4 linked regions of the Pelodiscus sinensis genome follow. The protein of the gene in region 2 interacts with the protein of the main gene of each other region in a pairwise test. Links are inferred from orthologs where the notes say so. Each region holds a gene or a part of one and is shown on either strand. Other genes may lie near its edges.

Region 1 (6,878 bases), about 52 Mb from region 2:
CTTGCATCCACGACATTGCAGCAGTAATAAGGATTCCAGTATATATGATACAAACTAGTACTGTGAAAATCTGAGCCGTTCTTCCTCCTGAGCATCAAGTTAAAACCACAGGCTTTACAAGTACAAGTTTTGAGGAAAAGTAACTTCAGTAATCAGAGATTCTAGTTTTATGTTTTTCATATAGAACCTTACAAGGTCATAAATTCAGCCATCTCAATTTTTTGGTTGTTTTTTCCAATAACTGAGACACACATATAGGCTATGTCTAAACTACATCCCTCTTTTGAAAGAGGGATGTAAATTAGGCAGATCGAAAGTGCAAATGAAGCGGGGATTTAAATATCCTATGCTTCATTTGCATAATCACATCATAGTGTTCTTTCGAAAAGTGACACCGCCGTCTAGACTTGGTTCTTTCAAAAAACCCCCTTTTTCGAAAGATCCTGTACTCCTCAAAAAATGAGGCTGGGCAGCTGGGGGCCATTTGTAGGGGCGCATGGGGCAGCTTTGTGAGCCACACTTGCAGGGGTGAAGAGCCGCAGGTTGGCCACCTCTGGTCTAGTGGTTGACTAGCAAAACTGGGGATCCAAGAATCCTGGTTCTTGATCAAAGTCACATACATCTCCAAGCTCTCATTTAATTTATTTATGCCTCAGTTTCCTCATTTGGAAAACACAGATAATACATATATTGCCACCTCACTTAATTATCGGGTGTAAGGAATTAATGTTTGTAAAGCACTTTCAAATCACAGAATGGAAGGTGATATATGAGTACCAAATATTACAGTTTAATTAAACCACTACTACTATATGACTTATTTTTATTGGAAAAACTTAAATAGTCTAGTAGCACTTTAAAGACTAACAAAACATGTAGTTTTTAAAGTGCTACTAGACTATTTGTTGTTTTTAGAAGTTTTTCCTGTTACAAACTAACTCAGCTAACCCTCTGTTGCTTTTGTTGGTCCTTGGGTAATTTTACAGCAGTTTCCAAAATGGGAAAAGCTAGTAAAAATATGCAGGGGCAGATGGAAAGAGCATGTAAATAGGAAGAAAATAAGTCCAATACAGGTCATATTGCAGCAGCTCCTGTCCTGGCTCCAGAGCAGAGGGAGCCCATTTTGGGGTGGGAGGGTGGAGGTAGAGCAGAGTGGGGAGGTGGGAACAACAGGGACAGGGTGAGGGGCAGGGGGAGGCAGGCCTCAGGAATCTGGTGACCAGCAATTAGAAGGATAGCACATGGTAAAATTCTCTAGAGGTGGCACCAACACTCATATTTGTGTCTGGTTTTTCCCCACTGCCAGTCCCCAGGGACCACCTAATGCCACAAGTTGGTCATGGAGCCCATGGTTTAGCTCACAGGGACTGTATGAGGGATCATGAGGCCTTTGAATTGTCCACGTGGAGTGCACAGTGCCTACAGCCAATGTGGGGGCGCTTCTGATGCTACTTGCCATTGATTTATTAAATTTGCAGCATAGAACATTTGAAACAATACTATTCACTGAATAATCAATGTGAAAATCATAGTGGAAACTGGGGCTAGAACAGAATCACTTTGTACCCAGCACTGTGTCTATGAAATACCTAATGATACAACAAAACCGAGTAGGTCCCATGGCACTTTAACACAAATATGTATATAGTATCATGAGCTTTCCTGGGAAAACCCATTTGGCCAGATAAGAACTGTGACGGCGCGTTGGGGGGGTCCCCCGTCTCCTGCACCCCGAAATGGCACAAACAGACTGCACCAGCCGGTGGAATAGAGGACGTTTATTGCCTCTCCAGGATACAGCACAGCACAGATGTAATCTGGTCCCAGAGCTGGGCTAGGATGCCTCAGGCCCCCTTGAGATGGGGGGAGACTGGGCCCCTAAACTCTAGCCCCTTTCCCTAGGCTGTCTCCTCCATGCTCCCAGACAGCAACTAAACTCACTCTCTTCCAGCCCTGCCCCCCAGCCAGGGCAGCCTCCACCTTCCTTTGTTCCTCTCCATGGTTCAACCGGTTTGGCATCACCTTTGCATAGTGAGGTTTCCCCTGCTGGGTCTTGCTCCAGACAGCAGAGGTCACCACAGCCCAGCAAGTACCCCCCCTACGTCACAAGAACCGTCTGACCAAGTGGGTTTTGCCCAGGAAAGCTCATGATACTATAGATACTAAAGCGCCACAAACCTACCCAGTGTTAGAGGAACACGACTACCCCTCAGAGACGGGTGACACAATTCCATTCCCTCTCGAATCAGCAAAAATTAGACCTTGCCGCGCAAAAACAAACTCCTCCCCTCCCCCCCCCCCCGAGCGCACTGTGACACAGGGTCCAGACACCCCAAACAATAAGCAGCCGTGACCCCTGGGCAACACCTGAAGGACAGAAACACGAATCCCAGTCCAGGGCCCCGATCCCCAGGCTGCTTCTGGGACAACGCAAGAAGCCAGCCTGGCAGGCGACGGAAGTGACCTTTCGCTCCCTCCAGCCCCTCCTCGCTCAAACCTGCTGCCCCCGCCCCGGCTCACCGCTTTCCTGGCCGGGCTAGCGGCCAGCTACCCTTCCTCGCGCCGCACCTCGAGCACGGCGCGCGGCCATTTTGACTCAGGGCAGGCTACCCTCACACCCTTTGGAAGCCTCGTGGGAACAGCAGCCATCTTTGCTAAGGGAGGCCTGTTTTACACCCCCCCCCCCAACTCACCGCATGGGCGGAGGGTGTAAGGAAACGGCGGCCATCTTAAGAGAGGGCTGCCTGCCTTCAACCCGCTTGCGGCAACGGCGGCGGGGGGGGGGGGGGGTCGGCCGCCATCTTTAGTAAGGGCGCACTCGAGGCTTAAAAGTCGCGGCCGTTGGCGTCGCCTTTCTGCTCAGCACCGAGATCGAGGCTGAGGCTGCGATACCCGCGCCCCGGCCTCCCACGGGCTTTGATAAGCCTGGGCTGGGGGTGTGTCGGGGAGAAGTAACTATGACAACAGGGCGTTGCCAGCGAGCGCTCGCCCCGCCCCGCCCTTTTTGCGTCCAAAACCCAATTACTCCCCCCCTCCCCCCCACGGCCATGAGCACCGTGTGAGCGCGCGAGTGCGCCCAGCGCGGCTGCGCGAGGTGGTTCTGGCAGCCCACGCGCCTAGGCCCGCTCTCCCGTGCAAGCGCGTGAGGGGCCGAGCGGGACGCTCACCCTGCGAGCCGGACGTTGCTGTGCGAGCGCGCGCACGCGCGCGCGTGTTTGCGCAGCTCTCGCGCGCTGCCCAGAGTCTGGGCTGCAACATTCCGCTCCGCAGTCCAGCCAGGCAGGGGGCAGCCGCGCTTCCCATTGTACAAACCCGGGAACAGACAGATCATGACCCATCAGCGTGGCTGGGCACAGACCGAGACACTCTGGCTGGCCTTTCCCCGCTCTGCATAACCGTGAATCATCATAGCCAGAGAGCAGGAGAAATCCTTTTTCAAAAGAAAGGGGGTTGAATGGAAGACTATCCAGGAACTGGTCTGCATTACTCAGGTTGATCAAAAGCAGCTTAACATTGACCTAATTGTGTCAGTATATACAAGGGGTAGGCAAAGGGGCCTCTGCAGGCTGGACTCAGCCCACCAAGGAAGTTGAACTGGCCGTGGAGGCCCTCATCACTGCCCCCAGGCCACTCAGGGTCTGGGGGAGAGGGGGAAGCAGATGGAGTCTCCTTCCACTCTGCGAGGGGTGCAGCTTTTAAGTACTGCATGCACCTTGCAGGATGGGGGCAGGAACTTCACTTGCTCCCCCCACCTCCAGGCCTATCAAGGTTTGGGGGTGGGGGAGCAGTGAAGTCTCCTGCCCTGCAAGGGGCTCAGGACTTAAAGTCAACCATCAGCTGCTGCTCAGCTGGTGGTTGACTCTTAACTGCTGCACTCCCTTGCAGGACTGGGACAGGGAGCAAGAGACTTCCTGGGGGGTGGGGGGAAGCATGCAAAGTTGCCTCCTACAGCCAGGGTCATGGGTCCCTAGAGTGTGCGTGCCTCCCCTGACCCATCAGGGTCTGTGGGTGGGGAAACTCAGAAGGGTCCTGGCCTTGCCCCTTCTGCCAGAGGCCCCACCCCTTCTGGGGCAGCCTGGGACTAGTTCAAAAATTTCTGAAGTGTCCCCCGGAAAAAAATTATTGCCCACCCCTGGTATATACATTACAGGCTTGTCCTGCTGCTGTAAGGTGTGTCTACACGGCACCGTAACTTGAAACAAGATATGCAATTTGAGCTATGCAGGTTGTATATCTTATTTTGATGCTCTTTTGAAATAGCTTATTTGGCCATTTGGCATTTAGGTAGATAGATCCAAGTTTTAGGTATAGTGCAGGCCTGTGATTCCCTCCTGAGCTTGTTCCCTCTCTAACCTCAGCCTATTTATTTTTCTTGTACACTGGTGATGATGGACCTTTCTACTAGCCTGAGTAGTTCAGTGACCTATTGTCTAGACCCTTTCTCTCCAGCCCAGTCAGGGAGGATGGAAGATAGCCAGCAGGTTAATTTGATTGTCATAGTCCTAATGGGGTTTTAATTACAACATCTCCTTGCACAGCAGGCAACACCTTACATTGACCAACAAAATGATTAAAATTGAATCCCTGGACTCATGACATATATTATCCAACTTTTCCATAGCGCCTTCTATTCAGGAATCTCAACATGTTACATAACCTAACCAAACCACACAACACTTCTGTGAGGAAGGTAAAGGATACTTAGGAAACATTTCACTCATCTTTGTGAACAATGACCTTGCTTAATAGCACCTAGCACCATTCACAATAGTTTAGAATGAAATATCCCATTGAAACTAGAAGGAGTCTATAGAGATGTGGAATTTAGTTATTAGAGCTGGAAGTTTGCCTGGACACCAGGTCTATCACCCTAGAACATAAGGACGGCCGTACTGGGTCAGACAAAGGTCCATCTAGCCCAGAAGCCTGTCTGCCAACAGTGGCCAGCGCCAGGTGCCCCAGAGGGGGTGGACCGAATACAATGATCAAGCGATTTGTCTCATGCCATCCATCTCTAGCCTCTAACAAACAGGCCAGGGACACCATTTCTATCCCCTGGCTAATAGCCTTTTATGGACCTAACCTCCATGAAATTATCTAGCTTCTCTTTAAACTTTGTGTTTAACTTTTGTCATTACACTATGGTCTTGAGTATCAGAGGGGTAGCTGTGTTAGTCCGAATCTGGAAAAACAACGAGAAGTCCTGTGGCACTTTATAGATTAACAGATTTATTGGAGCATAAGCTTTTGTGGGCAACGACCCACTTCCTCAGATGCATCTTGATTTACTATGGTCTTGATTTACCAATGACTCAAAGAGAGCAATGTTTCCTTCTGAATCATCGTAAGTATTTGTTGCCTCACCTACATTAGCTTTCTGGTCACCCATATGCTGACCCATTTGTTTTGTGAGTCATAGTAGGAAACAAAAGCTACTTCCTCTTTCTTTTCTATATTCCTTTATTAAATATCTAAAATTAGGCATTTACCTTATTTGCCTCAATTTTCTACCATTTCCCGTCCCAATGTTCCCAGTACAAACATTTTAAAATGAAGGGGAAATTGTTCTTTCCCCTTTTCTTCATCTCACAAAAAATAGTGAAATTTGCCAGTCTATTTTAAACACAGGTAGGGCATGTCAACACAACAGGGCTAAAGCTGGAATAAGCAACGCAACTTGAGCTATGTCAATTGCGTAGCTGAAGTTGAAACAGCTTATTTCGGCAGGAAGCTAATTTAAGGATGTTAAAGAGTCATTGCATTTGCTTATCAGATAGTCAACAGGATAATCAATTAGTCGCTTCCTCCCCCTTGCTGCCTTCATTAGATAGAGGCAACAACGGGAGGAAATCTGGGGTAGTGCCGCACAAATGATCTGGACTCCTCAGCTGACCCTGGGCTCTGCCCGTTTGAAATGCCACAGCAGCGTTTCAAAGGGGCAGCGCCGCCCTATTGACTAATTGAATAGTCGATGCATTTTTTCATCGACTATTCGATTAGTCCAATACTTAATACTTGGACTAAAATCCTTAGTCCAAGTTAGAGCACTCGTCTTCCAACTTCCCTTATTCCTAGTATAATGAGAGTTACCGGAGTTGTAGTAAGAAGTCCTCCAGCTTCACAGTATTTTGACATTGTCAAAATAACTGCCTGCTGTGTAGGCACGAACTATGTTATTTCGGAATTACATCAGGAGGAGCAGTGGGGAAGGAGCAGAATGCTGGCAGCTCCTTTGGCTGCCAAAGCATTCTCAGCCCTGCCCCCCAGATTGCAGAATTGTACGCACACAGCCAGTGGAGGGGTCGGGGTTGGTCAGCAGGGAGTCTTTCTGGTTTGCTATGCTGGCTAAAAATATTTTGCTAGTATGGCATACTTGTACCACTGTTTATTCGTCACTCAACTTCCATATGAGGAACAAAGTAATTCTGTATTATCAAATGCAAATATGTTTACTGCCCCATAATGATAACACTAAATGACTAAAATTAAGAGGCCAAGTGTTAAGTTCTTGATGTTATTGGTTAGTGGGTCCAATGGAATCTAATCTGGGGCTATGTACACACAGAAAGGCTGCAAGGAATAAGAGTATGTAAGGGCATTACTTTAATTTATACGTTCATACTCCCTCATTAGTTGCTTTTCTTTCTGCTTCTCATGTATGAATCATGTTTAAGTTTGCCTCGTGTTAAGCTAACACATGGTAATGTCTTTAGCTGTATGTTATAAAGGAGATGAAAAAAGGGGTTTGCAATGGGAACTGTGTTGTGACCTTAATGATGTAGAGAGATTCCAAACTGAAGGTGCTATTGGATTAAAATATCAGAATGTCATGTGCCTGTAAATTAAAGTCCATGCTCATGTGTATTATTTATATATGA
Region 2 (7,687 bases):
GGTAGCGTTTACACAGTAGTTCTCAAATAACTTTACCAACAAAGTTATTCCCCACAGCTGTAAAATGTGTAAACTGAGGCACAGATAAGGGAGTTAGAATCATTAGTAGTGTTTGACAGAATGTAAATCACACTGTGAAACCCTACTTAATGTAATTGGGGTTTGGGGCAGATCAGAAAATCAAAAATGTGGATATATTAGAAGAATTGGCAAAGAATATTGCTATTTTAAGATGAGGGCTCAGACAATTGGCTTCAGGCTGCTGGTAATTTGGTTAAGATGGTAAACGGGATAATAGAAGCTTGGATAAGCTTTATTATATCAAGTACACATGTATCAGCATGTTCAAGAAAAAATTTGGAATTCTATTAACTTTCTATTATTTATAGCAGGCACTCAGTTTTCAAACTCAGAATTCAATCATAATTTGTGTTCAATGGATGTATATAGTGGCTAGGAAAACCAAAGGCTAGCATCTCATTTTAATTGCAGATTCATGGTTTTAGTCAGAATTTTGGGTTTATCATGGAAAACTAGTATCCCTGGTCATGACCTCCCTCTAAAATGTGGGCACAGCAAGAAAGACAGCATTATCTGACTTGTAAGTAGAAAAACCTTAATATGAAAAAATTCTCATATGTTGAGGCAAGTTCTTCCTGTAGTAGGTATTTTGAATCAAGACGGGCCATATCTAAAATAACTGGTGTTATAAAACTTTAACTACGCTTACATCATTACACATTCAGTAAGAATGCAGCCTACAGCAAGCCACTCTTCAATACAAAGAGTTCTATTATTTCAATCTGCTGCCACCACACTTGCCATAATGCCTGTATCTGCATTCCATAGTGAATCCCATAGAAACCATTAATACCCTTCAGCCAAGCGAGCAGATGGCTCCCTTTCACCCTTATTGGATCAGAAAGTGATTCTACATTGGAGTGCTTTTGTAGAATTGGCTAGTCTTGGACAAAGCCAACAATAGCAGTTCCCTTGCCCATGTAGGCATCACCCCCACCCCACCGAAAAACAAGTAGTTATTACATGTGAACTTGCACGTTGACTAAAAAGCCAGCCCCTCAAATCTTGCATATTTGCTGCTAAGGTTTCACATGATGGGTCAGACATTATCCCTATTCATACAAGACAACATTTCTATTTCAATTTGTTCATTGCAAATTTGTTCAAAAATCAGACCTGCTATATGTTCTAGCTACTTTAAAACTTAACTGTTTCTAATTTTAGCATTGTCTAGACTAAAGGAATGGCAGATCCCTTGATAAACTTCCTGGAGGTACTGAGAGAAGTCTTGCAATTTTACAAGTTGCTTTTTACCACTAGGTGGCCCTACATCCAACATTATATCAATGTTACACATTTGAATTTACATTCAGTGCACTCATTTTAATATACAAAAATTACTACAAACCTGTCTGAAAGATTGCAGAGTGTTTTCAGCTTCTTCTCGCTGAATCATCTCATCTTGCAACCTGAAAATAGTACCATATAGATTATTAACTTTGGTGGGGGGCAGGAGAGAAGAGAACCTCAGCACTAGGATCTGGTAAAATCCAGCTGGTAGCCACACCCAGCCAACATCCCAGAGGGGGAAGATGGGGCCTCTCAGAAAAGGCATCTCATTCTGACATTTTTCTGGTCTGTGCCTTCTTTATTAAGTTTGCATGACTGGGCTTTGCAGCTTTCTGCTGTTGCAGCAGTCTGAAATCCACAGACAGCCTAACACAAGCAGTGCCAAAACCGTTAATGCTTATTCAGCTAATGAGCAACAAGAGGCTGACCTAGATTTGGGTTGATTTTAAACCCTCTTTTGGTAAATTCAAATTCTGTTAGGCAGCAATATTTAAAGAAGCTGATTGACTTTCAAAACTTTGGTGTGTAAAGCCACCAAAAACTTGTAAGAGTCTCCGAGCAACACAATTAAGTTTAAGGGCTCAGATGAGTGGCAAAGCTAACTTTTGTAATTTTTTTGACTGCATGGTCTTAAAATATCAGACTGAACTTTGGGATTCTCAGACGATGGTAACCACTCGTGATGGTTTTCCACGAAATCCTGCTCCCTGAACTTTAATCTGTACTAGAAGAGCCCGTGACTAATACACATCAGCCTTGTTTTGGCTCACGGTGGTAAATTAGCTCAGGCGTGCCCAAACCGTTAGTTAACCATGTGGGTTGGATCTGTGCGCTCCCGCCACCTCCCTGATGCTGAAGCCTCAGAACAGCTTCCAGCTGTTCTCAGGCGCAGGGGAGGAAGTTTCTCACACTTTGAGGGTACCGACTGCATCTTCGACCCTCCCCCCAGCTCTTGGGTGGAAGTAGCGAGGTTGGGCGCCCCCTCCCCACCCATCCGCCCCGTGGCACTCACTTCTCCCGCAGCCTGAGGATATCGTCGGCCAGGTTGTCCCTCTCCACCTCCACCCTGGCTTTGTCGTTGGTGAGCTGGTCCACCTGCCGGCGGAGCTCCCGCATCTCCTCCTCGTAGAGGTCCCCCAGGCGGGAGGTGCCCTTGCCCTTCAGCTGCTCCAGCTCGGCCAGCAGGATCTTGTTCTGCTGCTCGAGGAAGCGCACCTTGTCGATGTAGTTGGCGAAGCGGTCGTTCAGCTCCTGCAGCTCCACCTTCTCGTTGGTGCGGTTGGCCTTGAACTCCGTGTTGATGGCATCGGCCAGCGAGAAGTCCACGGTGTCGTGCAGGAGCCGCGAGGGGGGCAGGCTGCTCCGCAGCCGCAGGGCCGAGGACTTGGTGGCATAGAGGCCGCCGGGCGAGGAGGAGACCATGCGGCTGCTGCTGGGGCGGATGGCGCTGCCCAGCGAGTAGCGGCTGGAGGAGACGACGTAGCGGCTGCCCGAGGTGCTGGGGCGGCTGCCGCCCCCGAACATCCTGCGGTACGAGGAGGTCTTGGTAGTGCTCATGGCGGCGGCCGGCCGGAGCTTTGTAATCCCAGGCGTGCAGGGTCCGGCTGCGAGAGCGACAGGCGAAGGAGAGCGGCAGCGTCTGCCCGCGGCGGTATTTATACCCCCGCCACGCCCCGAGCTCGGCCCGCTCTGCCGCCAGCCAGCCCTGCCCCGCCCGGCACAGAGCCCCCTCCCCCGCGCCGGGCGGGGCCGGGCCGGGACGCCGGGGTCCCTCCCTCCACTCCCTGCCCGACTTGCTCACAAAGGCTGCGGGCGGGCCGGGGCGCTCTGCAGTGGGGGCCAGTGGCTCGGAATGAGGGGTCAGGGCGGGAGGCTGGGGGAGGCGGGGGCGGGGAGGGCACAAAGAACAGATGGGGGTCTGTAGGAGGCATGGTGTGGGGGAAGGGTCAGTAAGTCGGGTTGCCAACTCTTGACTGAAGCTACTCCTAGACTTGTTCCTCCCCCCCCATATGAAGTAACCTGGCTTTCTTAAACCACCCTAGACTGGCATGATTTTCCGCAAATGCTTTTAACGGAAAAGTTTTCCGTTACAAGCATTTGCGGAAAAGAGTGTCTAGATTGGCACGGATGCTTTTCCGCAAAAGCACTTTTTGCGGAAAAGCATCCGTGCCAATTGAGACGCGCTTTTGCGCAAAAAAACCCCGATCGCCATTTTCGCAATCGGGGCTTTTCTGCGCAAAACAAATCTGAGCTGTCTACACTGGCCCTTTTGGGCAAAAGCTTTGCACAAAAGAACTTTTGCCCGAATGGGAGCAGCATAGTATTTCCGCAAGAAGCACTGATTTCTTACATGAGATCATCAGTGTTCTTGCGGAAATTCAAGCAGCCAGTGTAGACAGCTGGCAAGTTTTTCCGCAAAAGCAATTGCTTTTGCGGAAAAACTTGCTAGTCTAGACGCAGCCCCTATGAAAATCTACTCTATGGTTCAATAGTCACCAGGAGATGGGTACCCATTCTGGGAGTCTCCCGGAGAGTTGGCAACCCTGTCAGTAAGAGGCAGAGTCAGTAGGGACTTAGGTGGCAGGGTGGGAGAACAGAGGAGGGTAAGCAAGAGGCAGGGAGGATTAGGCAAAGGAGAGGAGGGGATGAGAGGGTGAAATAGAAGATTCAGACATGGAAGGAGTCACTGAGGAGGGGACTAGAGAAAAGGGGCCAGAACATTTTGCATGCCTTTTCCTTGCCCTGTGGATAGCATCTAGACTCTCTGCCTTGGCTCTCATACTGTGGGGAGGGGTATCTATGTGCTTTACAAAGCTGAGGGTCTCATGCCCAGACAGGGAGGCCAGGTTCGGGGCAAGTGCAAGATGGAGCATGGCTAGGGTTTAAGGAGGAAAGCAGACTCCCTTTCTCTGGGAGTCATGATGCATGCTGTGCCATACCAGTTGCGTGTGCAGAGGGGAGTGAACTAAGCAAATGCCAAACCGAGTGCTGATGTCTGAGACATGCCCCATACTGGCTGTGCTCATTCTGGGTGTGTTCTCAGTTAGCTTGTGGTGTTCACAGGCCTCTTTGCTCTCACCAAGCTTGTGCATAAGCTGAGCTACTGCTTGTGGTGATCCAAATTGGGGAGAAAGAATGACTGGTCTGGCACAGGCACCCAGGCTACGTCTACGCTGGCATGATTTTCCGGAAATGCTTTTAACGGAAAAGTTTTCCATTGAAAGCATTTTCGGAAAAGCGCGTCTATATTGGCAGGACGCTTTTCCGCAAAAGCACTTTTTTGCGGAAAAGCGTCCGTGGCCAATCTAGACGCGCTTTTCCACAAAAAAGCCCCGATCGCCATTTTCACGATCGGGGATTTTTTGCGGAAAAGAAATCTGAGCTGTCTACACTGGCCCTTTTGTGCAAAAGTCTTTCAGAAAAAGATTTTTGCCCGAACAGGAGCAGCACAGTATTTCCACAAAAGCACTGACAATCTTACATGAGATCGTCAGTGCTTTTGCGGAAATACAAGTGGCCAGTGTAGACAGCTGGCAAGTTTTTCTGCAAAAGCAGATGATTTTGAGGAAAAACTTACCAGTTTAGACACAGCCCCAGAGTCTCTGGTGGCTGCACTTAAGCAGGGAAGAGAATCCCTGTGCTGATTCCTCCTGCACATCAGCTAAAACAAAGTCACACTTACTCTATGTGAAGGGCTATCAAACATGAAACAAATACTGAAAAATAGGGTATGTCTACACTACCCCGCTAGTTTGAACTAGCGGGGTAATGTAGGCATACCGCACTTGCAAATGAAGCCCGGGATTTGAATTTCCCGGGCTTCATTTGCATAAGCCGGCTGGCGCCATTTTTAAATGCCGGCTTGTTCGAACCCCGTGCCGCGCGGCTACACGCGACACGGGCTAGATAGTTCAAACTAGCAAGCCATTCCGCACTATCTGTACACCTCGTTCCAGGGGGCTGCTCTGGCCAGGTCAGGACGATTCCACCACACCTCACTGTGAGCAGGGGATCTGCTCTGGATGGGCCAAACCCGGCTGGAAGAACCTCCCACTGGTTAACTGGTTACCCCAATAAGCATGCTGGTAAAGCACATGTTTACCAGGTCAACCCTTTACATCCCTAAAGTAGATAGAATAGAATATTACCAGAATAGTTGAATTACATACAATCTTGCTCCTGCTTCTTGGCACAACCCTCTATGATTTGGATGAGAGAACAGGCTTCAGTTTAATAATTTCACCATTAAAATGAATGGGAACAGTGTCATTGACTTCAATGGGCACAGGATCAGGCCTAAAGAGAGAAACTGGCTTAACGACAACTGTAGTGAGATGTAGTAGCTGTCAGCCATTACTTGAAGGGTATAAATAACAGGAATCAGATTCTGTGTTATATTGCTGCAAAAGTCCCATTTGTAGTCAATGGGAATTTTGCCTTAGAAGGATGGGCTCTCCGCAGCAGTGTTCCCTGTAAGCTGAGCGCTTGGGTGGCTACCCAGGGGAGATTCAGGCGCTGCCCAGCTGACAGGCAGAGCGCTAACAGCTGACCACAGCCAGCAGCATGTGTTTCTATTGGTGGTACACAACTGCACGTGCCTTGGTGCATATAACAACATTTATTCTGCACATTGATGAAAAATCTTAGAGGGAACATTGTTCTGCAGGAAGAAAAATTATGTAGGAGATATGAGGAGTTAAAACTAGGAGTTACAGAATGATATTAAATAATGAAAAATTTTAGTGGAACATCAGGTGAAAACTCATAGAATCATAGAATCATAGAATAATAGGACTGGAAGGGACCTCAAGAGGTCATCGAGTCCAGCCCCCCGCCCTCAAGGCAGGACCAAGCTCCACCTACACCATCCCTGACAGATGTCTATCTAACCTGTTCTTAAATATCTCCAGAGAGGGAGATTCCACCACCTCCCTTGGCCAGGGGAAAAGTCTTCCCAGGAACATGATGGAAACCCCATTGTTTAAATTCTTTAAAACTAGACAGGTTAAGCACATATATATCCACACACACACACACACACACACACACACACACACACACACACACACACACACACACACACACACACACACACACACACACACACACACACACACACACACACACACACACACACACACACACACACACACACACACACTGTAGGGAACAAATTTGTCATTGATAGAGCCACTAAAACCTTCTAGGTCTTTTCTATCTTTAATTGCTACGAAAACGTTTTTGATCAATTGTATTTTTATATATTTTTAAGTCTCCCACCATCTAGCTCACAACTCTCTAAAAACTAATAGTTATATTGGATGCTGATGCATTTGAATGTACAGATGAACAGTGAAAAAGTTGCAAAGTATAGTGTCCGAGTCTCCTATCGTAGGGCACAATCAAATGAGTGGAATTAACTGTATCCCATGGTGAAGAATATGGTGCAAAATATTTTGTGAAGAGATGTTTTATAAAGAAATGGTGCTGTATCTTTATTCTGGATAGTGTCTTCAAGTAATGGAATATGGTTTAAATCTAAATTAAGCGATTTTGGGGTTTTGGACCTCTCTGCTGCCCTTCTTCAGGCCTTAATTTGTTATTTACATTGCAGCTTTGTCAAGCAAGCAGTGCTGACATATTTGAGCTATGGAAATGTTTTCAGCCCAAGTCTTGCACTATAGTTCACTTCATTTGTTGATTCAATAGGATGCAGGGGTCACACACATACACAGAATTTCTGGGGCTAACTGTACTGGCATCCTCTCCTGTTCTCAAATGTGCCATCCTAGCTTCCTGGGAATTCTTTCTTCAGCCATCAAGTGACTACTATAAACCTTTGTGAGTCTCCTTACATCCTGGCTCAAGAATACACACTCCCTCCATGAGAAACGAGAAGTAAGGCACATGACAAGCAGCCTCATAGATTAAAAATATTTTACTTGCTAAGTACTGATAATTTAGCAGTACTTTTTAAAAAAAAGATGTGCCACACCCAGTCAGCTCTTTGCTGTTACTAACAGAACATTAATTGTTTATGCTTTACATATTCATGAGTGTCATGTTTTCAGCATGTATTTCTCCACAAATTGAGGGTGTTTGTGTTATCAATTCAATATGAAAACCCTAATATTTAAATATTAATAGGGGTATGTTTGTGCCATTCTAACTGGGGCACTTCTTGGCCAGTAGCCTTTCTGTTGCTTTTTGCTGTGAAATTTCCAAGAAATGTTAAGAAGTTGGCAGTGTGGTAATCAGATTGGCATTAAACCTTTAATGTCATTTGATGGGTGGTACATAAGTGAGGGAAGGTGCA
Region 3 (7,641 bases), on a different chromosome or scaffold from region 2:
ACAGCACAGACTTTGCCCAGTGTAGGGTTAATTTCAATAGAAAAGGAAAAATGTCACCTTGCCTTCCTCAACCTTAGAAGTAGCAATCAGCCTACGAAAGCCCCAGAGGAATTTAACGGCCATTGTTGATTAGCTCACAGACCCTGAGCTCTAGTATCCTGGCATCCCCAGAACAACACACTTTCTCCAAGTCCATCTCCTGTCCCTTCCACTCAGGCAGGTCCACTTCTCTCCTTGAGATCCTCTCCACTTGGCCTATGCTGCTCTTCATGCCGGCACACCCCAATCGTCAGCGGCTGGGATGGAACCCGGGACCACTGGAGCTTAGTGGATTCTGGCGCTCCACTAAGGTTGTGGAGCAGACTCTGTCTTCTCTCTGGGAGTGGACTCAGTGCCACTAAATGGGACTGTGTGCCCCACCCAGCCAGTGTGTCTGGGTTACAGGTCCATCATCAATTCAGGAGAAAAATAAAACCAGCAGAGAGAGGTTGTGCTTCATTTACATTTCCAAAGCTGCATCAGCTAATCTCTGCTGCTGCCTTTCACTTGAGCACAAAGCAAGGGCTTACTTTCTCAGTGCCATTTCCACACACGTTTGGGGACCCCCAGTTCAGCTATGTGGTTCTTTCCATCTCTGATTACCCGCATGTGTAGGCAAATCGGGATCACGAGAGGTGCAAGTACTCTGTTTGCACCTGCAATTCATGTTTGCTGGTGTAACACCCCCCCCCCCATGCCTGTTGGAAATATTAACCCCTCGCACTCCATTTTCTTGCTTGACTCTGTCTTGATTCCTTTTATATTATATTATATTAATTAATATTATAACTTAGCACCTGGTGAGCCATGGCCTTTAGGTACCTCCGGGGGTGAGGTGTAACTCATGCAGCCAAGAATGCGTTTTCCAGCTGGTTCCTTCCCATTCCTCTTGAAGTGGGTGTGTTTGAGTTAATGAACGAGGCTGAGTATAACACAAACACAGAGGGCTGTTCCAAGTCTCCACCCTAGATGCCTCTCCAGAACAGACCCTTTAAAAAAGCAACCCACCCATGCAGACGCCGCGCTTGCTGGACCTCACCAGCGTTCCATAAAAGGAGGGTATCAGGGGAACCCTTAACAATTCCAAGAACAGTCACTTTTCTGAACACAGCAAAAGAGTTTCCACTCAGCTTTGCCGAGGAATCGGGCCAACTTCACTTTCAGTTTACTCGGGGGGTTTGTAACCAAGAATGGCATCTGCCGAATGCGTGGAAACTCTGAGCGTGCCCAGGGATGCAGGTGGTGGGGGGAGAAAAGAGGCTCCCCTGAGCTCCTGGAGGAGCAGGAGGTCGGAGAGAGAATGTAAGGAGAAAGGAGAGTGAGCGTTGTTAGCAAAGAGGGGGACAGTGAGGGAGGAGAAAGTCCTGGAGGTGGGAGCAGAAGGTGGGGCTGATTGTGGAGAGTGTCAGGCATCCTGCAACAGGGAATGTTGGGTGGGGGATCCTAGTTGGGGAAGGAGTAATAGAGCGGAGGTGGGGTTAAGTCCTGGCAGATGTCATTCATCTGTTGCCCCAAAATCAACATTCCGAAAGAGGCTTGCCCTGCGGTAGAGGGCCTGATCATCACAGGGGATGGGATAAACTCTGGACCTGCTGGGAATCCCGGCACGTGGGCTGAGAAACTCCCCCAAAGGAGACTGGGAAAGATTAGCTAACAAGACCTCACGGAGGAAAGAGCCTCAGATCCAGTCCAGCAAGCTGGTGTGGCTGGGGCTTTGTGCCATCTGTTCTCCTGAAGAAACCGTCTCCATCACTAGCCCAGCTGGGCCCATCCCTGGGTGGCAGCAACAGGTTGGCTCTCTACCCTTGCTGGCCCTTAGCACTCCTATTGGACAATCACCTGCCCCATAGTGACTGGATGCCCCCTCCACAGGCCTGTTTACCACAGGGTCCCAGTACGTCCTAACAGACACAGTTCATTGCTAATAGATGCTGCTAGTCAGGCGCATTGCCAAGGGCTTAGGGTCTGATCCCTTCAGCTCCTATTGAAATCAATGGGAGCTTGAAGGCACTCAGCCCCTCTCAGGATTGGGCCCTCAAAACTTCCCTCTGGGGACCACCTCACATTTGCAGCACTTGCCCCGGTAGCCCCGTGCAGCGTTCGACCGGCCCTGCCTCTTGATTTCCCTCGCCCGCTGGCCAGAGCTGGCCCAGCGCCCCGGTGGGCGTCTCCCTTTGGCTCTGGTCCCCTGTGCATGGAATACATTAATGCTTGTTTATCAAATCAGCGGGGCTTGCTGTGTAAATGAGGACGCATCGAGACATGTTCTGCTGCCTTGGCGTTTGCCCTGTGGAGGGGGAGTAAATAAGGCGCATAGCAGCGCTGCGCGGAGGAAGGGGACGGGGAGGCCGAGCCGTGCGGCCGCTCCCCGGAGAGATTACACTCTGGAATGTGCCAACAACCCCGACCTGCACAATTTTTCAAAGCCAGGAAGCCAAAGGAAACAGCAGCACCCGTTCGCCTGTCCTAGCCCGGTGCAGCCTCCGGAAAGCTGCTTGCTCGCTGCTGCGTGCCTGTGTCCTTGGCACCTCTCATGTCCTGCTAGCACCTGTCTCCGGCCTCTACTCTGACGCCTGACAACAGAGTGGCTCTGTTCTGCTTTCTCCAAGGATCCCTTTGCTCCTTGTTTCTCTGCCACTTAGGAATGTGTGGTTACCCAGCTCTGGGAGAGCCTGAGTCTTGCAGGCTGGCAATGCCAAGAGCCCCGTAGGAAGGAAGCCGGAGTACTCACCTCTTCTTCTGCACCGTGGGGCTGTATTTCCCTTTATTTCTTTTCCTGAAGAGAGAGTTCATGGTGATTTCCCTGGTGCTAGCAGCTGCCTGAATGCAAAGGGCTGGCTGCCAGCTGGCGAAAGGAGGCTGCTGCTAGATCCTGCAGGTACAGTGCTCGTCTGGGGAAGGAAGGGACAGGGAAACCGGCAGCCGCCTCCAGCCCTGCTCTCTGTGCCTGCTCCAGGGGTGTGAGTTCTCCCACTGAGCGGGGTAGGGCTCTCCCAGAGAAGGTGGTGCTTACCTACGGCACATGTCACTGACACAGGCGGAGCTACACGCACCTCCCCAGCCTGCTTTCGCTGGGAGCAGCACAGAGGTTACTCCAAGGGACCACGAGCAGTATCAGGCTCTGCGTGTGTGCGCTGTGCGAGGGACAGCTGGGGCTTACTTCAGCCCCTCACAGGAGGGAAGCATTCCAGCCTGTTACCAGAGGCAGGGAGCGACTGTCCAGCCGAATGTGCACATTACAGTCGTGTATCTGATTATTTTTCCGTTCCTGGGGCACCCTGCAAAACTGGGAAAATAAGCTCTGTTTGCCGGGAGCTGGGAAGGGCTGACAGGGGTGGGATCACGTGATGATTCCCTATCGCTGTTCATTCCCTCTGGGACACATGGCACTGGCCACCATCGGAAGACAGGATGCGCCTGACCCAGTGTGGCCGTTCTCATTTCTTAACAAGTTACCGGTTGACTGCAATCTTTCACTCAACCCAAAACGAAACACTTCACTCCGATGCGGAGTTTTTTAAAGCCTTAAAAGAAAAGGAAATGTCAAAATGTGCCCATGAAAGCTTATGATACGATCTATATATTTTTGTTAGTCTCAAAGGGCAGGTCTACACAGCAGTTAGAGCACTCTTCCTCTGACTTTCCTTACACCGTGTAAAATGAGGGTTACAGGAGTCGGAGTAAGACATTATTTCCACGTGATGTCGAAATAACTGCCTGTTGTATAGACGCAGATTATGTTATTTCGGAATCACCTCAGTGATTCCGAAATAACGCTGCTGTGTAGACATGCCCTAAGGTACTACAGGATCATTGTTGTTTTTAAGCTCTAACAGGGCAACCGAAAAATGGGGAAACTGATCACCGGGTCGTGCTTCCACACAATGTGGCATGTATATAATTGAGCAATTAGGAGCAACTCTTTTGTTTGGGCTTTGTGGCCATGTGAGACTAAACACATGGCTACAGAATTGTGTAGCCCTCACCAGGGCCGAATCCAGCGCTAGTTATGTCCTGAGGGCAGGTCAGTGCAGGATTCGGCCGACTGATCCTGTACGCTGTAACACCTCTGAAATCAGGGCTGTTCATCCGGCATGCCCCAGTGAGCAGGAGCTCAGAATTAGGTCTGTTCCTTGGGCGCTGTGTAGGATGCAAGTGTTCAAACCGGTCAGGGCGGTTTGCTTGAAGGCAGAGCAGGTGAGTGGTTAGAGCAAGGCACAGGGCTTGCTTTGGGTGCTATCGCTCCTTTGAGGCAGAGTGTAACAGGGCAAATCGGCAATGGAGACATTTTTCCAAAGAGGCGAGGGGTCTTCAGCTGCCTCTGTGCTTGGGCGTGAGACACGGGCAGAGGCAGCTTCGGAGAGGCACAGCAGGCACGGCACACTGAGTCCAGCTGGAGTTGCGGGCGCTTAGTTCCTCTGAAGATCAGGCCAATGTGGGGGCAAGTTGGACACCCACCAGGAGCAGAGTGGCTGAGAATCTGTCCTTACCCGGTCTGTTCCTCATGGCCTGGTTGTGGATGGGGGCAACTGCGAGGGATCATAAAGTATAATGACACCCCCAAAACCTCACGGCAGTGAGCTCAGAGCTCGGTTCTACAGACTCGGGCTTGTGGGGCTTACAAGACAGCACCAGAACCAGCCGTGTAGGCATTCAAGGGTGGGTTCCAGTTTGAGCTGGAACATCTACATGGCTATTTTTAGCACCATAGCTTGAGACTTGCCACAGTGGCTTTGTTTTTCTGGGGGTTTTGCCATGTAGACGTGTACGTAAAGGGCCCAATTCTCGTTCATTGTAGAAGCTCACGGTCCCGGCCCCAGCCCTAGTGTCAAATTCCTCATCAAACTTTCCAGGGGAGTCTTCTAAGAGCAGAAAGAGTCCGCTCCTTTTCCCCAGCCTTGCCAATCATCTACAGCAGAGAGCTGCGGAAGGCAGCCCAGGCATTCTCCCCGCCTCTGTCTGTTGCTGGAGTATGTCAGCGCAGGGAGAAAGGGGATAATGAATGACTTTGCCAGGCAAAAGGAGGCTGGGTTGTTTAGCTATCAGCTCATTTCTCTGCAGGGAAACATGAGCTCCAAAGGGCTGCCTGTTGATTTGAATTTAATTCTCATCCTGTTAAGAGAGCCCTGGGGTTCTTCCTGGATGTGCTGACAGGTGACTCTATGCTGTAGCAATGGTCTCTTTTAACACTTCTGTTAATTAATGATTTAAACCCAGCTTGGCTGTGAGCCTGAAACCCACAGCTGATCCCTAATCCAGTGGCTGATGGAACGTGCGTAACCTTGGCACGCAGTCCCTGCGGTGCCCAGTGCTGGAAAAATGCAGCCTAAGGCTGTCCCATGGCTGCCCTTTCCATGTGCAAGGTGTGGAGCTGTGCACTGAGGGGAGTCTCTGAGCCGTCTATTACACCATTGCGCTTCCTGGTCTTTCATGTATCCCTCCTCCCAGCACTATTAGCTGCATAGTCCAGCTTTGCAGCTGAGGCACATGGAGACTAGGTGACTTGCCCAAGGACACAGCAAGTCTGTGGCGGAGCAAGGACTCAACCCCTTCCTCCCAAGTCCTTGGCTAGTGCCCTATCACTGGCCCGCCTGTCTCTCTGCACACATGCAAGAGAGCATCAACTAACTCCATTGCACCATTTCCCCTTCTTCTCCGGACCCCAGAGCGGCCTCCAGGGGCCCAGGATCTGCAGGAGGCATGACCAGGAAAAGGGCAGGTGAAGGAGATGTGTCCAAACCCTGAAGTCTGCTGTGAAAATCTCAGCTGAATCACTGAGCAAAAATTGGCCCAAGCCTCCAAGTCTTTGGCTGCTTTCAGTGGAAGTTAGGGACCGACGAACCTGGGAGGAGCTGGGCCTAAGTCCCTTGTCCGTGGCCTGCCAGGCAGTCCGTGGGAGAGGGGGAAGGCAGGTCCCTTGCCAATGCGTTAGTAATGCTGTGTTTCTCATTAGAGCAGAGTAAATGCTGCGCCTTGGGGCCTAGGACAATTTACACCAGCCAAGGATCTGCCTTCCCATCTTTCCCCCGTAAGACACAGCATTGACCCCTACTGCTCAGTCGGGGAGCCCACAGCCTCCATGGCCCCCACACAGGGGCCAGCTCTGTGCTCTCAGAAGGGGCGGGGCCTTGGGCAGAAGGGGAGGGGCTGGAGCAACTAGCCCTCAGTGCCACCTGGACCATAGGCGTCCCCTCCCTCCTGCAGACCTCTGAGCCGCCCGGAGCGTGTGGTGCAGCACTCCGGCAGTGATTTAAAGGGTCTAGGGCTGTGGCAATAAGAACAGTGCTAGGCCCCTTGGAATCACTGGGCCCTTGGGCAATTGTCCCCTTTGTCCCCCTCTCAGCGGGCCTGTGCTCAGTAAATAAACAGCAGCAGCTGCAATACCGAGCAGCGAAATGAGCGTGCCACACGCTGGTTTACTGCCCCCAGAGCTGCTGCTCGGGGTTCCTGATCCAGGTCCTTCCCAGCACCCCAGCCTGCGCTGTCCCTCTCCCATCCCCCCCGGGCTGTCAGTGACACAGTGCAGCTTGCAGCTGTGGCTAGCTGGGGAGAGAGCATTTCATTAGCCAGCATTTTGCAGTGAAAGGGGGGATTTGAGGTGCTAGCGGGAGGTGACGTTGCTCGCCCACCTGAGGGGAGCAGGACAAATAGCAGGAGGTGCTGCCACTCTAGGGATGGGGGTGGAAAGGAAAGAAATGATTCCGGGGAGGGGAGGGGAGGGGACAGGAGGAAACTAGACCCAAGCCACAAGGGATGCCGAGAAAGGAGCTGGCTCTGCAGTGGTGTCAATGAGATCAGAATCTGCTCCGAACGTTCAGTCCTGGACGCTCAGGAAAACCTCATAGCCCCTTTGCAAACCCATCCCTCCGGCACCGGCTCCACAATCCCCCGGGTGCTGAGGTTCCGCTTTCCAGCCTGGCCATTCGCTCCCCTCCTTGGAGCTGGGCAACCCGGAGGTGTCGGTTTCTCAGTCCGGATCGTCCACGTGAATCCCTCTGGGCACCGAGGGGCATCCCTGCGCTGGCGTGAGTCAGTGAAGCTCTGCAGCCGTCATTGCAGGAGCTGTAGGATTTACCTCAGCGAAGACGAGGCCCTGCTGTGCTAGGGGCTGTACGAACATACACGGCAATGCCTGCCCCACGCTGGCCATCTGTGTTCACTTCGCTTATTTCCATTGCTGGCTCTCACCACTGACAAATGAAGCACGCGGGTCTTAGGAACTGAGCTCTTACAGCCTCATTTCAGCAGGGACAACGCTGGCTCCGTGCTGGCTGTGGCTGCAGATTTACCTTCAAGGCCACCAGCATGGATTTTTATTCTAAATGGGGGGTGTTATACCCAGTCCTCTGAGGGATCCTGCTTCAACCCATCATCCCCGCCCTCTTAAATCTCTATCTATGGCCTCCGCTTGCTGCCTTTCCGACCCCCGCACAGAGGGCACAGTTTGTCCCTCCACCTGCTGCTCGTGAGCTCTCTGCCACCAGCGTGGTGCGAGGTTTCCAAGGCCGTTGGGACTTCTCCAGCTGCGGTCAAAGGGCAGTGAGATCAAGAGGAGGCAGAGACACTGAAGTGGTCCAAGGGACCGTGTTCTAGCCATTCCAC
Region 4 (7,305 bases), on a different chromosome or scaffold from region 2:
TATTTAAAAAAATTAATTTTTGAGTCTTTTGCTAATTGCTCTTTACATTCTTTCTTGGTTTGCCTAATTATATGTTTACACTTGATTTGCCAGAATTTATGCTCCTTTCAGTTTCTCAGTAGGATTTTACTTCCAATTTTGAAAGGATGCCTTTTAGCATCCTGCTGCTTTTACTCTGCTGCTTAGGAAGGTGTCATTTTTTTACTCCTCTTACTGTTTTGTGTTCATTTGGGTTATATATTTAGTTTGAGTCTCTAGTATGGTGTTTTAAATAGTCTCCATACAATTTGAAGGCATTTTACCTTTTAATTTCCATTCAATTAGCTTCCTCATTTTTTTCCCCCTTTTTGAAATTATTACTGAAGTTGTGGTTACACTATTAACGAGCACGGACAAATAGGCTATAAAAAGAGGACACTAGAGACCAAGGACTGTCATTGTTTGGCTTGCTGGAAGTAAGCATGGGTGCTAGCCCCAGAGAATAATCTCACCGAGTTCAGTGTCTCAGCAAATCCCACTTTGGCCAATAAATAGCAAGCTCTTGACTTTGGGACAAAAATCAGAGCAGACTATAATCAGAAAGGAGAGGAAACCTCTACCCTCCATTTACCAGAGGGCTAGAAAAGAAGGTGTTTTCCAGAAGTAATGGCACTGAATAAATGAACTATTTTCCTTACAGCACTTAACATGTAAGCTAACTGGCTAAGTATCAGGGATGGAACCATAAGAAAACTATTTGTTGCTCATTAATGAAATATTTTCACCACCAATTCCATCACTAACCCAGCAAAATAACACATGCGCTCCTACAGATCTCCAAGCACTTCATAAACATTGTGACAAGTCTCAGAGGAGTAGCTATGTTAGCCTGTATCTGTAAGGACAACAAGGAGTCCTGCGGCACCTTGAAGACTAACAGATTTATTTGGGCATAAATCCATGCTTCTGGCGAAGTAGTTTTGACCTACAAAAGTTTATGCCCAAATAAATCTGTTAGTCTTAAAGGTGCCACAGAACTTCTCATCGTGTTTTCATAAACATTAAGCTTTTGCCAAACTCCCGGGAACCAGACATATTTTTACGGGTGGGGAAACTGAGGCACTGAAAGGCAAAGTGACTGGACTGCCGTGAGTCAATGTCAGAGCCAGGAACTGAGCCCACAAGCTTTAACTCAGGTCTTTGCTCTGGTTGCTAGACTACACTGCTTCAGTGACTAAGGATATTTCTTCATTCGGTGCCCTTACCTGAAATCAGGGATTCCTGAGGCTGTGCTGATCCCGGCTCCTGTGTGAAATACTACATTGGAAGAGCCCCTGATCAAGTCTGCTAAGGCACACACTTTCCTCTCCAGCTCCTCTGGCGGGTCAAAAATCTGAGGGGAAGGAAAAATTGAAATGGAGAAGCAGGGATAAGCGTCCCGCCAGCCCAGCACGCGGAATGGTGGATAAGCAGTTTCACCGAAGCCACAAAGCTACCTGGCACACCAAAAAACAGGCTAGAAGTTGACACAGAAAAAAAGCACATTAGCAACTGGGTCGCACAGATGCAGCGCTGGCGGCCAGAACTCATGGCCTGCCACTGGCCGCTCAGTGGCCTCAGGATGTTCCAATTTAAACCTCACATCTGCTTCAGGGAGGTGAGGAGTCAGCGTCCCTTAGAGGCAAAGGGGGGGGGGGATTTGAGGGGAAAGGGAAACTCCCTTGCAGGGGTGCATAGGACCCCGTTGGTGGGGGGAGAGGGAAGAGGAACCGTCCCCAGGGGAAGGGAAGCACCCTGGGCGGAGAGAGGGGAAGGCAGGGCTCCAGCTGGGAGGGTGAGGACAAGGGGGAAGCACCCAGAGGTGTGTGAAAGGAGCGCAGGGTCCCCCTTGAAAGGGAAGGAGGGGAAACACCCCAAGGGACGGACGTACAGGGCCCCTCTTGGGGGGTTGAGAGGAAGGCGCCCCAGGAATGTGAGGGGGGTGCAGGGTCCGTCGGGAGGAAGGAGAAACACCCCAGGGGAGGGCATGCAGGGTCCCTGTCGGGAGGGGGCGAGGGGAGCGCCCCAGGGGGGAGAGGAAACACCCCCAGGGGAGGGCATGCAGGGTCCCTGTCGGGGGCTGAGAGGGGAGCGCCCCGGGGGGAGGGACATACACGATGCCCGTGGAGGGGAGGGGGAAGCGCCCCAGGAATGTGAGGGGTGCCCCGGGCCCCCGAGGGGAGGGGAACACCCCCAGGGGAGGGCGCGGAGTCCCTGTCAGGGGCCGAGGGGGGAGGGGCACGCACGGTGCCCGCGGAGGGGGAAGCGCGTGGCGCTGGGTGGGGGGAGGGGCGCGCAGGTCCCGCCAGGGGGGGGAGACGTGTCACTGGGGGAGAGCGCAGGACCCCGGGGGGGAGACGTGTCGCTGGGGGGGGGGGAGCGCAGGACCCCGGGGGGGAGACGTGTCGCTGGGGGGGGGGGAGCGCAGGACCCCGGGGGGGAGATGTGTCGCTGGGGGGGGGGGGAGCGCAGGACCCCGGGGGGGAGACGTGTCGCTGGGGGGGGGGGGAGCGCAGGACCCCGGGGGGGAGACGTGTCGCTGGGGGGGGGAGCGCAGGACCCCGGGGGGGGAGACGTGTCGCTGGGGGGGGAGCGCAGGACCCCAGGGGGGGGAGACGTGTCGCTGGGGGGGGAGCGCAGGACCCCAGGGGGGGGAGACGTGTCGCTGGGGGGGGGAGCGCAGGACCCCAGGGGGGGGAGACGTGTCGCTGGGGGGGGGAGCGCAGGACCCCAGGGGGGGGAGACGTGTCGCTGGGGGGGGCCGCAGGGCCCCGGGGGGAGGCCCCGATGCTGGGCGGGGGGGGCTGCTCCTTCGCGCTCACCTCGGGGAGGCCGCACTTGCCCTTGTCCGAGTAGGGGGAGAGCCCGGCCGCGTAGTTCACCGACATCCTCCCGCCGGCCCCGCCGCTACCAATAAAGTTTCCCTTGTTGTCAATTCCTCCAGCGAAGGGCGGAAACGGCCGGGCAGGGCCGACTGAAGCCGCCGCCCCTCAGTCCGCATGCGCAGAACTCGGAGGGGCGCGCCGCCCGGCGCCATATTAGCTCCGGGCAAGCGCTCGCTCCACCAGCTGGAGCTCAGGCGTGGCGCCTCGGGCAATGGGCTGTGCCCTGGCCTCGGGGGTGCGGTGGGGGGCGCCCCTAGGGCACAGGCCCGCTCTGAGCAGCGCTGCCGGCCCCCAGGGTTCAAAGATCACCAGCCAGGCCTCACTGGCTGGGGAATGGTGGCTCTGTCGCTTTTTAAATAACACATTTTTGGTTATTTTGCTGTGACTCTGGTTTTTTACCTGGGGCCCGGGCAGGCGCCTAGGCCACATGTTCTAGCTTTTCCTCCCTAATCATGAGGGCTAGAATGTAAAAACACACACCATGAAATCAAAGATTCCCACACAAACACTTGCCTCTGGGAACTGGGGCTTTAAGAAATCATAGAACCGTAAAAGCGACGAGGAGTCCTGTGGCACCTTATAGACTAACTGAAGTGTAGGAGCATAAGCTTTCGTGGGCAAAGACCCACTTCGTCAGATGCATGTACATGCATCTGACGAAGTGGGTCTTTGCCCACGAAAGCTTATGCTCCTACACTTCAGTTAGTCTATAAGGTGCCACAGGACTCCTCGTCGCTTTTGCAGATTCAGACTAACACGGCTACCCCTCTGATACATAGAACCGTAGAACACCAGAAGTGGAAGGGACCAGTCCCCTGCCCTCATGTCGGGGCCAAGTGTCATCTAGATCAGTGTTGTGGGGTTTTAGATGCTGCTTGTAATTATTAGAACTGGGAGCACTGGCTGTTGGGAATCTGGAAGCCCAGGAAACAGGAAGGAGGGGGGAGGAGATGGGCTAGGCCTGAGTGAGAGCTACAGAGGGGAGCAGCAGCAGCTTTGTGAAGAGGTTTCACCTTTGTTACATAAAGGCCTATTGAAGTTTGTTACTACTTTGCTTGCATGATACAACAAGTGTTTTCAACTTTTTTTTATAAAGTACCCCTTTTAAAAAAAAATTATAGTTTTCAGGACTATGTAGCACTTTAAAGACTAACAAGATGGTTTATTAGATGATGAGCTTTCGTGGGCCAGACCCACTTCCTCAGTCTGGCCCACGAAAGATCATCTAATAAACCATCTTGTTAGTCTTTAAAGTGCTACATAGTCCTGTATTTTGCTTCAGCTACACCAGGCTAACATGGCTACATTTCTATTACTATTCCAGTTTTCAGACACACATAATTTTCTTCCACCGTTGCAACACATTTGTTTGAACAACTTAATCGTAGCCAGGCAGGCAATGACATTTTTGGGTGTAAAAAGTACAAAATAATAAAGCGCTGTAAAACTTAAAACAAAAAAATCAGCTTTCTTCAAATTTCAGTTGTGTTGACTTCTCTCGAGTACCCCTAAGGGTACTTGAAGCAAAATGCAGGACAATGTAGCACTTTAAAGACTAACAAGATGGTTTATTAGATGATGAGCTTTCGTGGGCTAGACCCACTTCCTCAGATCAAATAGTGGAAGAAAATAGTCACAACCATATATACCAAAGGATACAGTTAAAAAAAATGAACACATATTTGTACCACTGGTTGAGAAACATTGATCTAAATCATACCTGATAGTTGTCTGTCTAACCTGCTCTTAAATATCTCCAGTGATGGAGATTCCACAATCTCGCTGGGCAATTTATTGCAGGGTTTAACCACCCTCACAGTTAGCAAGTTTTTCCTAATGTCCAAACTAAATCTTCCTTGCTGCAGTTTAAGCCCATTGCTTCTTCTCCTATCTTCAGAGGCCAAGGAGAACAATTTTTCTCCCTCCTCCCTGTGACATCCTTTTAGATACCTGAAAACCACTATCATGTCCCTTCTCAGTCTTCTCTTTTCCAAACTAAACAAGCCCAACTCGTTCAATTTTCCCTCATAGCTCATGTTTTCTAGACCTTTAATCAAATACCCCAACTATAGCAAGATTTGCAATAAATTCTCCAGCATTGGCTTCACTGCCTAAGGGACTCGTAGGATAACTGGATGCATTTAAGGGGTGCCTGTGGAATGTAGCTACAAAACCCTAAAATGTATCTTCTGAGATCCTAAAATATGGCCTTCATGTTCTCTCTGAATAACCATATGGTGAGGGCAAAGATGGTTATCACTGTTGGCCTTCTCAAACTCTTTCTAGACATCTCCCACGGACAATGCAAGCACACGCAGAGGTCCCTCAGGCTACGTCTACATGGCAGCATTTTGTCGGCATAGGAAATGCAAATGAAACGCTCATTAGCATTTCTCATGCTGTCATTTGCATAGTCTCTTCCGATCCTTTTTGCCGAAGAGGTTTTTGTGGAAAAAACTGCAGTGTAGACGGGGCCATTTTGTGCAAAAAAAACCCTTTTGTGCAAAATCCAGTATACCTCCTTTTTTGAGAGAGAAGGGATCTTGCACAAAAGGTTTTTTTTTCGCAAAATGGCCTCGTCTACATTGTTTTTTTCCACAAAAACCTCTTCCACAAAAAGGATCAGAAGAGACTATGCAAATCAGAGCACGAGAAATGCTAATGAGCGCTTCATTTGCATTTCCTCTGCTGACAGAATGATGGAGTGTAGATGTAGTCTCACTATAATAAAGTCTAGGCTCTTGTGTGTTTTTCCCATCATGTTTTCCAAGAGACATTTTTACTGTACCTGTTTGGTGGGGAATGTACCTCCTTGTCCAGCTACAAGATGCCCAGCATGCTATAGTTGTTATAGGAAAATAAAATAAAATAAAATAAAATAAAATAAAATAAAATAAAAACATGAGCCACAATCCTGCAAGAAACTCTGTGTTGGGTGTACTGAGGTCCATCTGCATAGTCATTAGTACAGAAGAAGGGCCATAGCATTTATGGTTGCCAGATGGTCTCCCGAAAAATACCGGATACGTGGAATTTTTTGGTCGAGCAAAAAAAAAACAAACAAACAAAAAAGGAACGTGGGATAATAAGCCCCTCCCCCCTCGTTCTTCGGTGCCCAGAGCGGCGATCACAACCCCGCCTCCCAGCTGGCACTCCCAGGCTGGGAGGCGGGGCCATGATTGGCACTGGGAGCCTGTGATTGCGCAGAAGCCTTGCGGGGGCGGAGGCAAGGCCTCTGAAGTGCCCAGAGCAGCGATCGTGGCCCCGCCTACCAGCTGGGGGTTCCCACCTTCCCACCTTCACAGGCACCTAGCGCCGATCATGGCCCCACCTTCCAGCCACCCCACCTCCCCTCGCCCATGCCTGGCTTCTGTCTGGTGCACAGCTGGAAAAATCAGAGAGTATTGGACATTGCACATGTCCGGTATTCTCTGATTTTTTTTTACCGGACAAAGAGCACAAATACTGGACTGTCCGGTAGAATACTGGACACCTGGCAACCCTAATAGCATTGTTTAGTGATTACGACCTAGAGATTATGGGACTGGGGATCAGGATAGTTGAAAACAAGCAGCCAGGCAGGTGTGTGGAGAGCTGAGCTGTGCTGAGCACTGGTGACATAACTGGGCTAGGCAGGATGAACAGGGTTCGGCCCTATGTAGAGAAATACATTCAGCTCTGTCAAGTGCAGTTGTCACCTTCCCGTACTGAGCAGCGACCAGCTTTGGCAAGGTAACTGTACCTGTAGCAGGTGAGTAACTTAATTCCTATCGCAGTTAAGTCCCACCCCTTGGCTATCCTCATTGGTGGATTCACCAGCTGGCCCCCACTGGGCCACCTATCGTAGGGTGAGATTCCTTCAATTGAGACTGCAGTAAGGAGACACTTCTCAGTTTGTTCTGCCTTGGGCACAGAGGGAAGGAGCCCTCCCGGCTGAACTCGGCTCTATCAGCAAGGTAGGGAAGAGGGTTGGGAGGGAGTGATGGAAAGGCCCCAGGACTAGGGGAATAGCCACCCCATTCTGTCCAGCCCTCTCAATGCGGGATTCACGTATTTAAGACCAGAAATGAGGGAAGCTTCTGCTCCCAGAGCTCAGTGACTGTTGGGTCTAATATATGAAGCCATAGATATGACTGTGCCGCAATTCATGTCCCCATTTGACATATCCTGAAAGGGACATTACTGGGAATAGCAAAGAGGCAGCATGCCCTAGGAAAGAGAGGATGGTGATGCTAAAGAGGCAAGGCCAATAGGCCATGATGCATTGAGTTGGAGCCTGTCCTGGCTGGTTATCTTGATGCAATAGAAAGCACGGCCCACGCAGATTTAACAGTCTAGTGTGGGATGGGGAAGTGAAAGTGCTGCCTGGTGCTTAAAGCAGAGGACTCAGAATCAGGCCTGT

Evidence for each region.
Region 1: the proteins of VIM (region 2) and YAE1 interact in a two-hybrid assay, tested with the Homo sapiens proteins (2 studies listed by BioGRID and IntAct). The link is inferred for Pelodiscus sinensis from reciprocal best matches to the Homo sapiens genes VIM and YAE1.
Region 3: the proteins of VIM (region 2) and PPL interact in binary tests that used the Homo sapiens proteins (3 or more experiments, as listed by UniProt). The link is inferred for Pelodiscus sinensis from reciprocal best matches to the Homo sapiens genes VIM and PPL.
Region 4: the proteins of VIM (region 2) and SIRT6 interact in a two-hybrid assay, tested with the Homo sapiens proteins (2 studies listed by BioGRID and IntAct). The link is inferred for Pelodiscus sinensis from reciprocal best matches to the Homo sapiens genes VIM and SIRT6.

Annotation. Positions count from the first base shown.
Region 1 is NC_134712.1:166,988,177-166,995,054, forward strand, and holds the start of YAE1 (protein YAE1 homolog), read right to left. Parts: upstream 3,001-6,878; 5' UTR 2,694-3,000; intron 2,673-2,693; exon of another isoform or gene 2,521-2,672; intron 2,502-2,520; exon of another isoform or gene 2,368-2,501; intron 88-2,367; 5' UTR 17-87; coding exon 1-16. UniProt on the Homo sapiens protein: The complex LTO1:YAE1 functions as a target specific adapter that probably recruits apo-ABCE1 to the cytosolic iron-sulfur protein assembly (CIA) complex machinery. May be required for biogenesis of the large ribosomal subunit and initiation of translation.
Region 2 is NC_134712.1:218,778,048-218,785,734, reverse strand, and holds the start of VIM (vimentin), read right to left. Parts: upstream 3,013-7,687; 5' UTR 2,929-3,012; coding exon 2,384-2,928; intron 1,491-2,383; coding exon 1,430-1,490; intron 1-1,429. UniProt on the Homo sapiens protein: Vimentins are class-III intermediate filaments found in various non-epithelial cells, especially mesenchymal cells. Vimentin is attached to the nucleus, endoplasmic reticulum, and mitochondria, either laterally or terminally.
Region 3 is NC_134726.1:5,917,332-5,924,972, forward strand, and holds the start of PPL (periplakin), read right to left. Parts: upstream 3,001-7,641; 5' UTR 2,833-3,000; coding exon 2,771-2,832; intron 1-2,770. UniProt on the Homo sapiens protein: Component of the cornified envelope of keratinocytes. May link the cornified envelope to desmosomes and intermediate filaments. May act as a localization signal in PKB/AKT-mediated signaling.
Region 4 is NC_134729.1:22,247,259-22,254,563, forward strand, and holds the start of SIRT6 (NAD-dependent protein deacylase sirtuin-6), read right to left. Parts: upstream 3,001-7,305; 5' UTR 2,907-3,000; coding exon 2,841-2,906; intron 1,373-2,840; coding exon 1,245-1,372; intron 1-1,244. UniProt on the Homo sapiens protein: NAD-dependent protein deacetylase, deacylase and mono-ADP-ribosyltransferase that plays an essential role in DNA damage repair, telomere maintenance, metabolic homeostasis, inflammation, tumorigenesis and aging.